Callithrix jacchus: one gene and its partner. The main gene of each other region encodes a partner of the protein of the gene in region 2 in a complex. Links are inferred from orthologs where the notes say so. Each region holds a gene or a part of one and is shown on either strand. Other genes may lie near its edges.

Region 1 (4,994 bases), on a different chromosome or scaffold from region 2:
GTCTCTACTAAAAATACAAAATAAGCCAGGCATGGAGGTGCATGCCTGTAATCCCAGCTACATGGAAGACTGAGGTGGGAGAATCACTTGAACCTGAGAGGTGGAGGTTGTGGAGAGTCAGATCATGCCATTGCACTCCAGCCTGGGCAAGAGGGACAAAATTCCATCTCAAAAAAAAAATAAGAAGAAAAATAAAAAACTCCTAAATGCATAGATACAGATTTAGGTGAACAAAGTCTGAGGCTAGGGCCTCTCCCCTTTAGCTAATGGGGTAGGGGATGCCAGGAAAATGATATATGTAGTAAGTGGGCTACAACTGAACACATAGACTTTTCATCTCAGGACACTGAGGTAAAGCAAAATTCAGAAAGATGTGTGGGGGGAAGAAGGGCAAAGTGTAGCCTCACTACCACCCCAAGCAGAAGCCCCGAGTACTGTGATCCCTCAGAGTAGTCACCACAGGCCATAGTCATGATCTGCCACCAGACTGGAGGAGACTACAGGCCACAGCCTCCCTTCTTCCCATGGCTCTAAGTCACCATCTGTTTCCCAAGGGGAAAGTCGACTGAGGGAACAGGGACACACGGCAAACGCCATCAGAAGTCAGGTGAACAACTGAGATCAAAGACGCTGCTCTTAGGATGTTTGCAATTCCAAGTAGGAGATACCAGACATCAATGAAGAGTAGCATTTTATTCATGTGCAGATCTCCCTTCTGGGCTAACACGCTGAGAAGAAAAAGAATAGCAACTTTATTTTGGGGCTGCTCATCTTTTCATGAGGGGCCCACACAACCAGAGCTCGACTTTTTCAACCTGAGAAAGCTCACTGAAGTAGGGATGGGGGGCCGTGAAGAGGATCAGAACGCAGGACTGAAAGCTGCGGTTTAAAAAACCGGGAAAAGGACCAGGCGCGGTGGCTCACGCCTGTTATCCTAACACCTTGGGAGGCCGAGGCGGGTGGATCACCTGAGACCAAGAGTTCGGGACCAGGCTGGCCAACAAGGTGAAACCCTGTCTCTAAGTACAAAAATTAGCCAGGCACGGTGACACACGCCTGTAATCCCAGCTGCTTGGGAGGCTGAGGCAGAACTGTTTGAACCCAGGGGGCGTAGATTTCAGTGAGCCGAGATCACGCCACTACACTCCAGCCTGGCGACAGAGCGAGACCCCGTATATATTTAAAAAAACAAACAAACAAACAGGAAAAGGTTTTATTTCTCAATGAGAGCCACGAGGTGAAACTGCGACGGTCTGTAAGTCAAAAACCGTGGGTTCCAGTTTGGGCTCTATCTTAACTATCTTCAAGATTTTGGACAAGCCAAACCCTGTCTCTGAATCTGAGGTTCCCTATCTGTGAAATGGAGGGGGTCGCTTGACCTCCTTCCTTCCGGCTCTATGCCTAACGGTTGCTCGGAAGGTGTGCTCCGGCGGAGGAAGACACGGCCCCGCAGGGCGGGGCGGGGAGAGAGCAGGAACCCGGACTCAAGACAAGGCCTCAGGGCAGTGCCCGACCCAAAAAAAGGGACTAGGATTGGGAGCAAGGGCCGAGGCTTCGCCCTTACCTGCCGCCTGCCGACTCCCCAGTCAGCCAAACCGAGCCCCGCAGCCTCTGCCGCCGCTCACTGCCACCCCTTCTGACTCGGCGCCCCGGCCGGGCCGGGCTCAATCCAACCCACCATGGCACGCAGCCCGCAGCGCCAGCCAGCGCAACCGGACCCGCCGCCAGCCCATCCTCAACCACAGGCGCAGTCGCAAGCGTGGAGCTCTGAAGTTCCGCCCCCGGATTTGTCCCGGGGTAATCTGGGAAATTGAGTTTACCCGCAAGGAGGCGCTCCTACAGATCACGTGATAAAGAACACCAATTGACGCAAGTCTTACTGCGGAACTGTGCCTGGGTTTGGCCAATGAGAAGTCGACTTCGTTTCCATCCGGGTTTGGACAGCGGCAATCATGGCGCCACCCGTCAGATACTGCATTCCCGGTAAGAGAGCGCTTCCCGTAGAGTCCTGGAAAGAGGTCGAAGCTGGAAGGCTGGACGGCCTATAGCTTCTGGGGGCCAGTGACTGATAGAGCATTTTTTCTGCAGGCGAACGTCTGTGTAACTTGGAGGAGGGCAGCCCGGGCAGTGGCACCTACACCCGCCACGGTTACATCTTTTCGTCGCTTGCCGGCTGCCTGATGAAGAGCAGCGAGAACGGCGCGGTAAAGGGAGCGGCTTGCCGTCTCCTCTCTCTCTTTTCACTTAGGCTTTCATTAAGTTCCAGTCCTTAGGCATGGCCACTGCGGACGTGTCTTTAGTGCCTCACCGGTACAACCTTGGTCTTAGTTTCTTCTAGCCGTGATCGCCGCCGTTGTGCACTTGGACACCACAAACTAGTTGTGTTGATCTCGCTTGGTTGTGCTGCTGACTCTTGGGGAGGGAGGTTGGGACAAAAGCAGATGTGAACTCAGTAACCCAGCCCAGCCCAGCAGTGAGTTGCATACTGTATGAATGTCGCTTATCTCTCCGGCTTTATCTTGCGCCACTATCTCCACCTCACTGACGCAATCTAGTCATACTGTCTTTTCTGTTTTTAAAATTTATAATCACAGTCTCTGCTTGCCCTTTTTTAAAAAATTTATAACATACTAGCTTCTCTCAATGTCGCTAAGGTGCCAAGCTTTCTCCTGCTACAGAGCCTTTGTAACATTCATCTATCTGGAACGCTTCTGTCTTCCTAGGCCCATTTAATTCCTACCTCCTTTAGATAGCTTCTGTACTATCAACTTCTCAGAGAAGCCCTTCTGGACCCACTAATTGAGGAAAGGGGTTTTGTGGGGTGTTTTGTTTTTGTTTGTTTTGTTTAAGACTCACAAAGACCTCTGTTCCTTTTATTCCAAGCATTTATGTCAGCATATGATTAGAAACTCAGGTATATGATTCCCACCAGACTTCTCCACTGCTTGAATCTAAGTTCCATGAAAGCAGGCCCTACCACCATACATTCAGTATCTAGCACAAGGCAGCTCCTCAATAAATGTTTGTTGAATGCATAATACCAAACTTTCTAGTTTTAGAAATTGATCGGGCTGGGCGCGGTGGCTCAAGCCTCTAATCCCAGCACTTTGGGAGGCCGAGGCGGGTGAATCACGAGGTCAAGAGATCGAGACCATCCTGGTCAACATGGTGAAACCCCGTCTCTACTAAAAAGTACAAAAAATTAGCTGGGCATGGTGGCGCATGTCTGTAATCCCAGCTACTCAGGAGGCTGAGGCAGGAGAATTGCCTGAATCCAGGAGGCGGAGGTTGCAGTGAACCGAGATAGCGCCATTGCACTTTAGCCCCTGGGTAACACAAGCGAAACTCCGTCTCAAAAAAAAAAAAATCAGAAATTGATCTAGGATTAGCTCAGGATCGCATAAGCAATATTTGAAGGAGCACAATAGAGGATTCAGAATTAGAACACATAGGTTCTAGCTAACTAGACCTTGATTCTGCTTTGAGTAAGTAAATTAAGCTGTCTGATTCAAGGGGCTTTCTATTCAGTCATTCTTGGGAATGTCCTTAACAGTCCTGAGTTTCTTCACTTCACAGATACCATCTGAGTGTTTTCATGTGTCAGGCACAGCGCTGACTTGGTTTCTGCTATCAAAGGACACAGACACAAATTGTAAAATAAATGCTTAAATTGTATATGGTTACATATTTGGTGACTGCTTAAAAGAATATTACAGGGCACCTTGAAAACATGTAACAACCAAACCCACCCTAGTCAGCAGAAGTGACATTTAAGCTGAATCATCTAAAGAGTAAGTAAGAGTTGGGTGGGTGGAGAGAGTGTAGTTCTGGTAGAAAGAACGGGTTGAAGAGAGATCCAAAAGTGGGAAGAATTTAGTAAGTCAGAGAAACTGAAAGAAGGCCAGGAGAGCTGAAGCATCATGACCAAGGGAGAGATTGATAAAAGATGAGGTTCAAACTATCTGTCTTACACCAACAGCCAATACCATGCTCAAAGAGCAAATGCAGCTATTCACTTAAAATAGAAGAAAACAAGCATGGCCACTATTATGTAACATTTTTGTGGGAATTTCAGCCAGGCGGGGGCTCAAGCCTGTAATCCCAGCACTTTGGGAGGCCGAGGCGGGTGGATCACGAGGTCAAGAGATCGAGACCATCCTGGTCAACATGGTGAAACCCCGTCTCTACTAAAAATACAAAAAATTAGCTGGGCATGTTGGCGCGTGCCTGTAATCCCAGCTACTCAGGAGGCTGAGGCAGGAGAATCACTTGTACTCAGGAGGCGGAGGTGGCAGTGAGCCGAGATCGTGCCACTGGACTCCAGCCTGGGCAACAAGAGTGAAACTCCATCTCAAAAAAAAAAAAGAAAAAAATTATCCATGATTATAGGCAGTATATAGTTGTATACCAAGAAATTCCAAGAGAATCACCAAAAAACTTACTAGAACTCATCTAGAATAGTGAGATTTATGTCTTAGCAGCATTCTGTAACCTCTTTTTCCTACTATTTCCTAAAGTTTCTAATGTCTTCTGCTCTGGGCTATAAATGAATCTGTACTCCAACTCTCAACTGTGTACTAAGGCATTCCTATGTTACTCTCAAGCCACAAATGCCTTGACCCAAGGGTTAGCCAGGACATTTCAGTTTTTTGTTGTTCCCTCTGTAGCTTCCTGTGGTGTCTGTAATGAGAGAAACAGAGTCCCAATTACTGCCAGATGTGGGAGCTATTGTAACCTGTAAGGTAAGACGGTTCTAACCTCCATGCTTTGAATGCCCTTTCAATACTGAAATCATGATCATGCTAGAACTGCAGTGTCCAGTATGATAGCCACAAGCTACATATGGCTACTTAAACAGTATTAAAAATTTATTTCTGGCTGGGTGCAGTGGCTCATACTGCATCTAGCACTTTCAGAGGCCAAGGCAGGAGGATTGCTTCAGCCTAGAGTTCAAGACTATCCTGGGAAACAGTGAAACCTCATCTCTACAAAAA
Region 2 (5,008 bases):
AATCTAGCCAACAGAATGTAGTTCAGATTTGGGGAATGATGGTAAGGAAACTATATTTTATGGAATTGCTAACACATTTAAAACAGTAGTTAATAAGAAAAAAGTGTGTTCTGGGCCGGGCATGGCAGCGCACGCCTGTAATCCCAGCACTTCGGGTGGCGGAGGCGGGCGGTCATTTGAGGTCAGGAGTTCGAGACCAGCCCGGCCAACATGGTGAAACCCCATCTCCACTAAAAATACAAAAATTAGCCAGTTGTGGTGGTGCATGCCTGTAATTCCAGCTACTCAAGAGGCTAAGGCAGGAGAATCGCTTGAACTTGGGAGGCGGAGGTTGCAGTGAGCCAAGATCGCGCCACTACACTTCAGTCTGGGTGGCAGAGCGAGACTTTGTCTCAAAAAAACCCAAAACAAAACAGAAAAAAAAAAAAAAAACAGAGTACTTAAATATCAAGGGACCTGGTTACACTCCGAATGGGGAGGCATAGGCCAGAGGCACTGGAAAGGGGAGCAGCCTCGACTGCTTTGGCTCCAAACCCGCAAGCCTGACAGAGAACCGGGCGTAATCCACCTCGCGATCAGCAGGGAAACACAAGCGCCGGCGGAGGGCAAAGCCTCCTCCTTATTCCCCAATCGTTGCACTTTTCCCACTTTTATAACCAGAGAGGAAGCACGAGTTGCTCGAAAATGTGAACCGTGACCCATGGGACCCTAGGACCAACCCGCGCGCCCTCGAGGGCTTGAAGCCGGGTTTCAAACACTCGTTCGCGGCTTCGGGCTCCCACCTAACAGCGGACGAATTCCCGCCGCCCAGCACCGGCTGCTAGCTCTCGGCAGGGCGCAAGACCCCGAGGCGGCGAAGCACCGACGCAGCTGCGCACGGCCAGGTAAGCTGGCTGCGGTTCCTCGCGCCCCGCCCGCTGTGGGCGTGTCAGGGTGGGTGGTGCTCAGGAGTGGCCCAGCCCCGGCCCTCGGGTCGCGAGAAAACTTTCCATCCCGGCCTCAGCTGTTTCATCTGCTGACCTGCTAGAGCGCTACGCCGCGCGTCATGTGCGGCCTCTGCTAGCTCTGATCCGAGTTTCTTCCAAAGACTTCACTACCGACGTGGGGTGAATGAAGGACAGTTCAGAGAACATTTCCCCACCTGCCTCTTTGCCTGGCCCGAATGTGAGGTCCTTGAGCGCCCTTCAGCCGTGCTGTTGATCCTGCCAACACTGAGGCAGGCAGGGTCACCCAATACTTCTGGAGTGGGGAAGAGAAAAGCACAATTAATACTGTCTCTGCCACAGGAGCTCCCATTTTTGCCAGGGAAACTAACCTGGAAGTGGGAGCCCCTTTTATTTGTTGGCCTTCTATTACACCTAGCGGGGAAAATGGCTTGCCAAATTTGGAGGGTGTGTTGAAGATGATCTGTCTCAATCCTAAAAAACATAAAAGTTCGGCCGGGCGCGGTGGCTCACGCCTGTAAGATAGATGGCTGGCTACAGCCACCTCGGACGGGCACCTGTGAGCTGACGGCAACGAAGCTTCATAAACTGGTCAACTCAACCGACCACTACTGCCGGAACCGGAAAGTCATCAAGGGCGGGTGCGGAAGCGGAAGGCGAATACCGGAAACGGTGTTTGCGGGCGTCCGCAATGGCTGAAGGTGTATCAGTAGTTGCTGAATCTCTCGCGGGCGGCGGGGCGCGCGTTGCGCGCTCAGTACTAGGTCAGGTGGTGCTCCCGGGTGAGGAGCTGCTCCTGCCGGAACAGGAGGACGCGGAAGGCCCTGGCGGTGCAGGGGAGCGACCGTTGAGCCTGAATGCTGGAGCTTGCTCGCGGGTGCGCGTTATTTGCGGCCCGGGCTTGCGGCGCTGTGGGGACCGCCTGCTGGTCACCAAGTGCGGCCGCCTCCGTCACAAAGAGCCCGGCGGTGGCGGCGGCGGCGGCGGCGGCGTTTACTGGGTGGACTCTCAGCAGAAGCGGGTAAGCTGGGACTCCGGAGTGGTAGCCCTGCTTTAAGAAGACCTCCCAAAAGAAGAAAGGATGGGACACTGAAGCCCTCCTTGTTCAGGCACCTAGAGCCCCTAGTACCACCGTAGTCTTGTGCCCACTTTTCATGTCCTTTAGAGGGTCCGTGAACAATAGGAACATACCCTGAGAAGGGCGACCAGGAGAGAAAAACGTTTGGAGACCGTTAGTCATGATTATAGTCTTCAAAACCCCAAAGGTCAGGGAGCAGCAGACTTTCCCTTTGGAGTCTCAGAGGGCAGGACCAGGCTGAATGAGTGGATGTCAAGGGGAGTTAATTTCTCCTAGGACAGATAAGAACTTTCATACAGAAAAAAAAATGTCTAACTATGGAATGGGCTTCCTTGGTTGTAAGGATTCCTTTGCCACTGGATTTATGCTACAAAGCTAGGGACTTACTCTTTGGGGTGCTGAAGAAATACGGGGTTTGGGCTCAATTAACAGACTACCAGAAGCTGCAAACCCGACACTTTATGTGATTTTCTTTTACCAAAAGCGGCATACGATCAAATTTCTTTCTCTTTAATGACAATAAGGTAACCACAAAAGACTTGCTGAAGGTATCTTCCAATGGTATGTTGTTATTTATGACTGTTTTCTCATTCTGTTTCCTTTTGTAGTATGTTCCAGTGAAAGGAGACCATGTGATTGGCATAGTGACAGCTAAATCTGGAGATATATTCAAAGTTGATGTTGGAGGGAGTGAGCCGGCTTCTTTGTCTTACTTGTCATTTGAAGGTGCAACTAAAAGAAACAGACCAAATGTGCAGGTAATGATGGGAGCCTTTGGTTTCAAAGCAAGAAAAACATCCATTCCCTTGAAGGACTCATATCTCCAGAAGGCTACCTGAATTGTCTCCAAAGCATGACCTAGATTTCTGTGCATGCAATTGCCCCAGGCTCCAAGAGTTTCTTCAGATGCTCCAGGACCAGAGCCACATACTTACTTTACATTGACTACATTGTTCTTAGCATGTTTCATTTCTACTGAGTTATCTGTCATCTCTGTTATGTGTTATGTCCACATCCTCTGGACAAGGAAGTCTTCTGTAGGCTTAGAGGAGGGAAAAGTAGTGCGCATTTTGGCATTATCAGCTATCCATCCATCCTGGCTGTAGATCCTAGGAGCTGAGAGAGGAGTGATATTATTGCCTTGGGTTTTCAGATTGGGCTTTTCAGGTAGCATAGCCACACTCTTGTCTACCCCAGCCCGACATTTAGTGATTTCTTTGCTGCTTCTCATTCACTTCTCATGCATATTTAGTTGCCTAACCCTATTTTGATCCTATTTGATTCCATCTCTGATCTTTGGTATGTCCATCCCTTTATCTCCACTTTGCAAGTTCAGGCTTTAGCTCCGTCTTGACTGGACTCAGTCACATTAATCCTTGCCTCCACATTTTTACCTTACCATCCAGGGTTTTGAGAGCAGACATCCTCACAGTCACTTTCTGGAAAAGAAAAAACAAGATTATCCAAAATCTACAGAATTCCTTGGCATTACACTTCAGGTGTCTTTTCCTTATCCCTAATTATATCCTTCATGCAGCCCTACTTGAATCACACCAAAAACCACTAAACTCAATTTCCTGCCCTTATTTCTTTGCACATGCTGTTCCCTCTGGATTGCACTATTCCTTCTCAGCCTGTGGAACACATTCTCATCTTTTAGACCTAGGCTAAACACAACCACCTCTCTAAAGCCATCCCCAGTTGTCACTTTTCTCCTATCTTTTCTCTAGCACTTACTGGATTTAGTATATGTACCTCCCAACTGCCCTCCAAGACCAAATGCTTCTGAAAATCGGAGAATGTTTTCTTCCTCTATAGTTTACATAGTCACCAACAAACAGTAGGTACTTAACACATTTTGTTGAGTAAACCGAGTTCACTCTCCATTTCCTCAGTTTCATCACTTTAAAGTTTAGCTCTATGAGGTTTTTAAGTAATCTTGCAGGGAGAAGTGTCAGTGAATTATTTTGTTTTGCTTTGAATAATTCGCATGCTGTGAGTTCCTTCCTCTCTCTGTAAATCTGTAATTCTCTAGGGTGGTGTCACCTAATACATCTTTCCATAGTGATGCTGTTTTATGTCTCTACTGATTAGTATGATAGCCACTAGCTGTTGAGCACCTGAAATGTGGCTAATGCAACTCAGGAAATTAATTTTAAGTATCTAATTTTAATTAAATGTGAGTTCAGATAATTAGCTACCTACCATATTGGACAGTGCAACCCTAGAGGTGTTCTCTGGCCTTCAGATGGCTCTTCCTCTGTGATTTCCTGGTTGGTGAAAGGGAATGATACATGCGTTCCTTTTTTTCACAAGACTCAACTCCAAAGTGACTGTAGAAATCCTGTAGTGTAGTCAGTCCCTTAGCCACAGAACTGTAGGTGGCTGGCATTGATGGCTGTGGGAAAGAACCAATAGCAGCACCTGTAGAGTAGTTTGCTGAGAGGTAATGAACTGGTTTTTAATATCATTATAGGTTGGAGATCTCATCTATGGCCAATTTGTGGTTGCTAATAAAGACATGGAACCAGAGATGGTCTGTATTGACAGCTGTGGACGAGCCAATGGAATGGGTGTCATTGGACAGGATGGTCTGCTTTTTAAAGTGACTTTGGGCTTAATTAGAAAGTAAGTCCTGATGTATGCTGGCTTCCCTGCCTTTTTTTTATAATTATACATTGTTGAAAAGTTGGTTAATCTTCAGGATTCAGATTCTTTGTGACATTTGAATTCCTCCTCAAAGTTAAAAATCAATATCCATTTTAACACATTTGGAAACTCATGAATTTAATCATATCTTCTTGTAAACGTATAAAATTTAGATGTGTTTGGCTGTGTAGTTTCTGGTGGGCTAATACTTCATGCTTTAAGCTCTTACTGTGTATTCATGTCTTCCCTCCCAGGCCTGTTCCTCAGCTGATATACTCAGCCCAAATGTGAAAACTGGCCTTTCCCCTCTTCTGAGTTAATTGAACACAGATGTACT

Evidence for each region.
Region 1: EXOSC3 (region 2) and EXOSC1 share a complex: the UniProt entries of both Homo sapiens proteins name them as parts of the RNA exosome core complex. The link is inferred for Callithrix jacchus from reciprocal best matches to the Homo sapiens genes EXOSC3 and EXOSC1.

Annotation. Positions count from the first base shown.
Region 1 is NC_133513.1:90,265,776-90,270,769, reverse strand, and holds the start of EXOSC1 (exosome complex component CSL4), read left to right. Parts: upstream 1-1,932; 5' UTR 1,933-1,952; coding exon 1,953-1,983; intron 1,984-2,088; coding exon 2,089-2,204; intron 2,205-4,667; coding exon 4,668-4,742; intron 4,743-4,994. Other genes in the region: palmitoyltransferase ZDHHC16, read right to left, coding at 458-597. UniProt on the Homo sapiens protein: Non-catalytic component of the RNA exosome complex which has 3'->5' exoribonuclease activity and participates in a multitude of cellular RNA processing and degradation events.
Region 2 is NC_133502.1:144,772,153-144,777,160, reverse strand, and holds the start of EXOSC3 (exosome complex component RRP40), read left to right. Parts: upstream 1-1,615; 5' UTR 1,616-1,635; coding exon 1,636-1,965; intron 1,966-2,630; coding exon 2,631-2,780; intron 2,781-4,498; coding exon 4,499-4,650; intron 4,651-4,925; exon of another isoform or gene 4,926-5,008. UniProt on the Homo sapiens protein: Non-catalytic component of the RNA exosome complex which has 3'->5' exoribonuclease activity and participates in a multitude of cellular RNA processing and degradation events.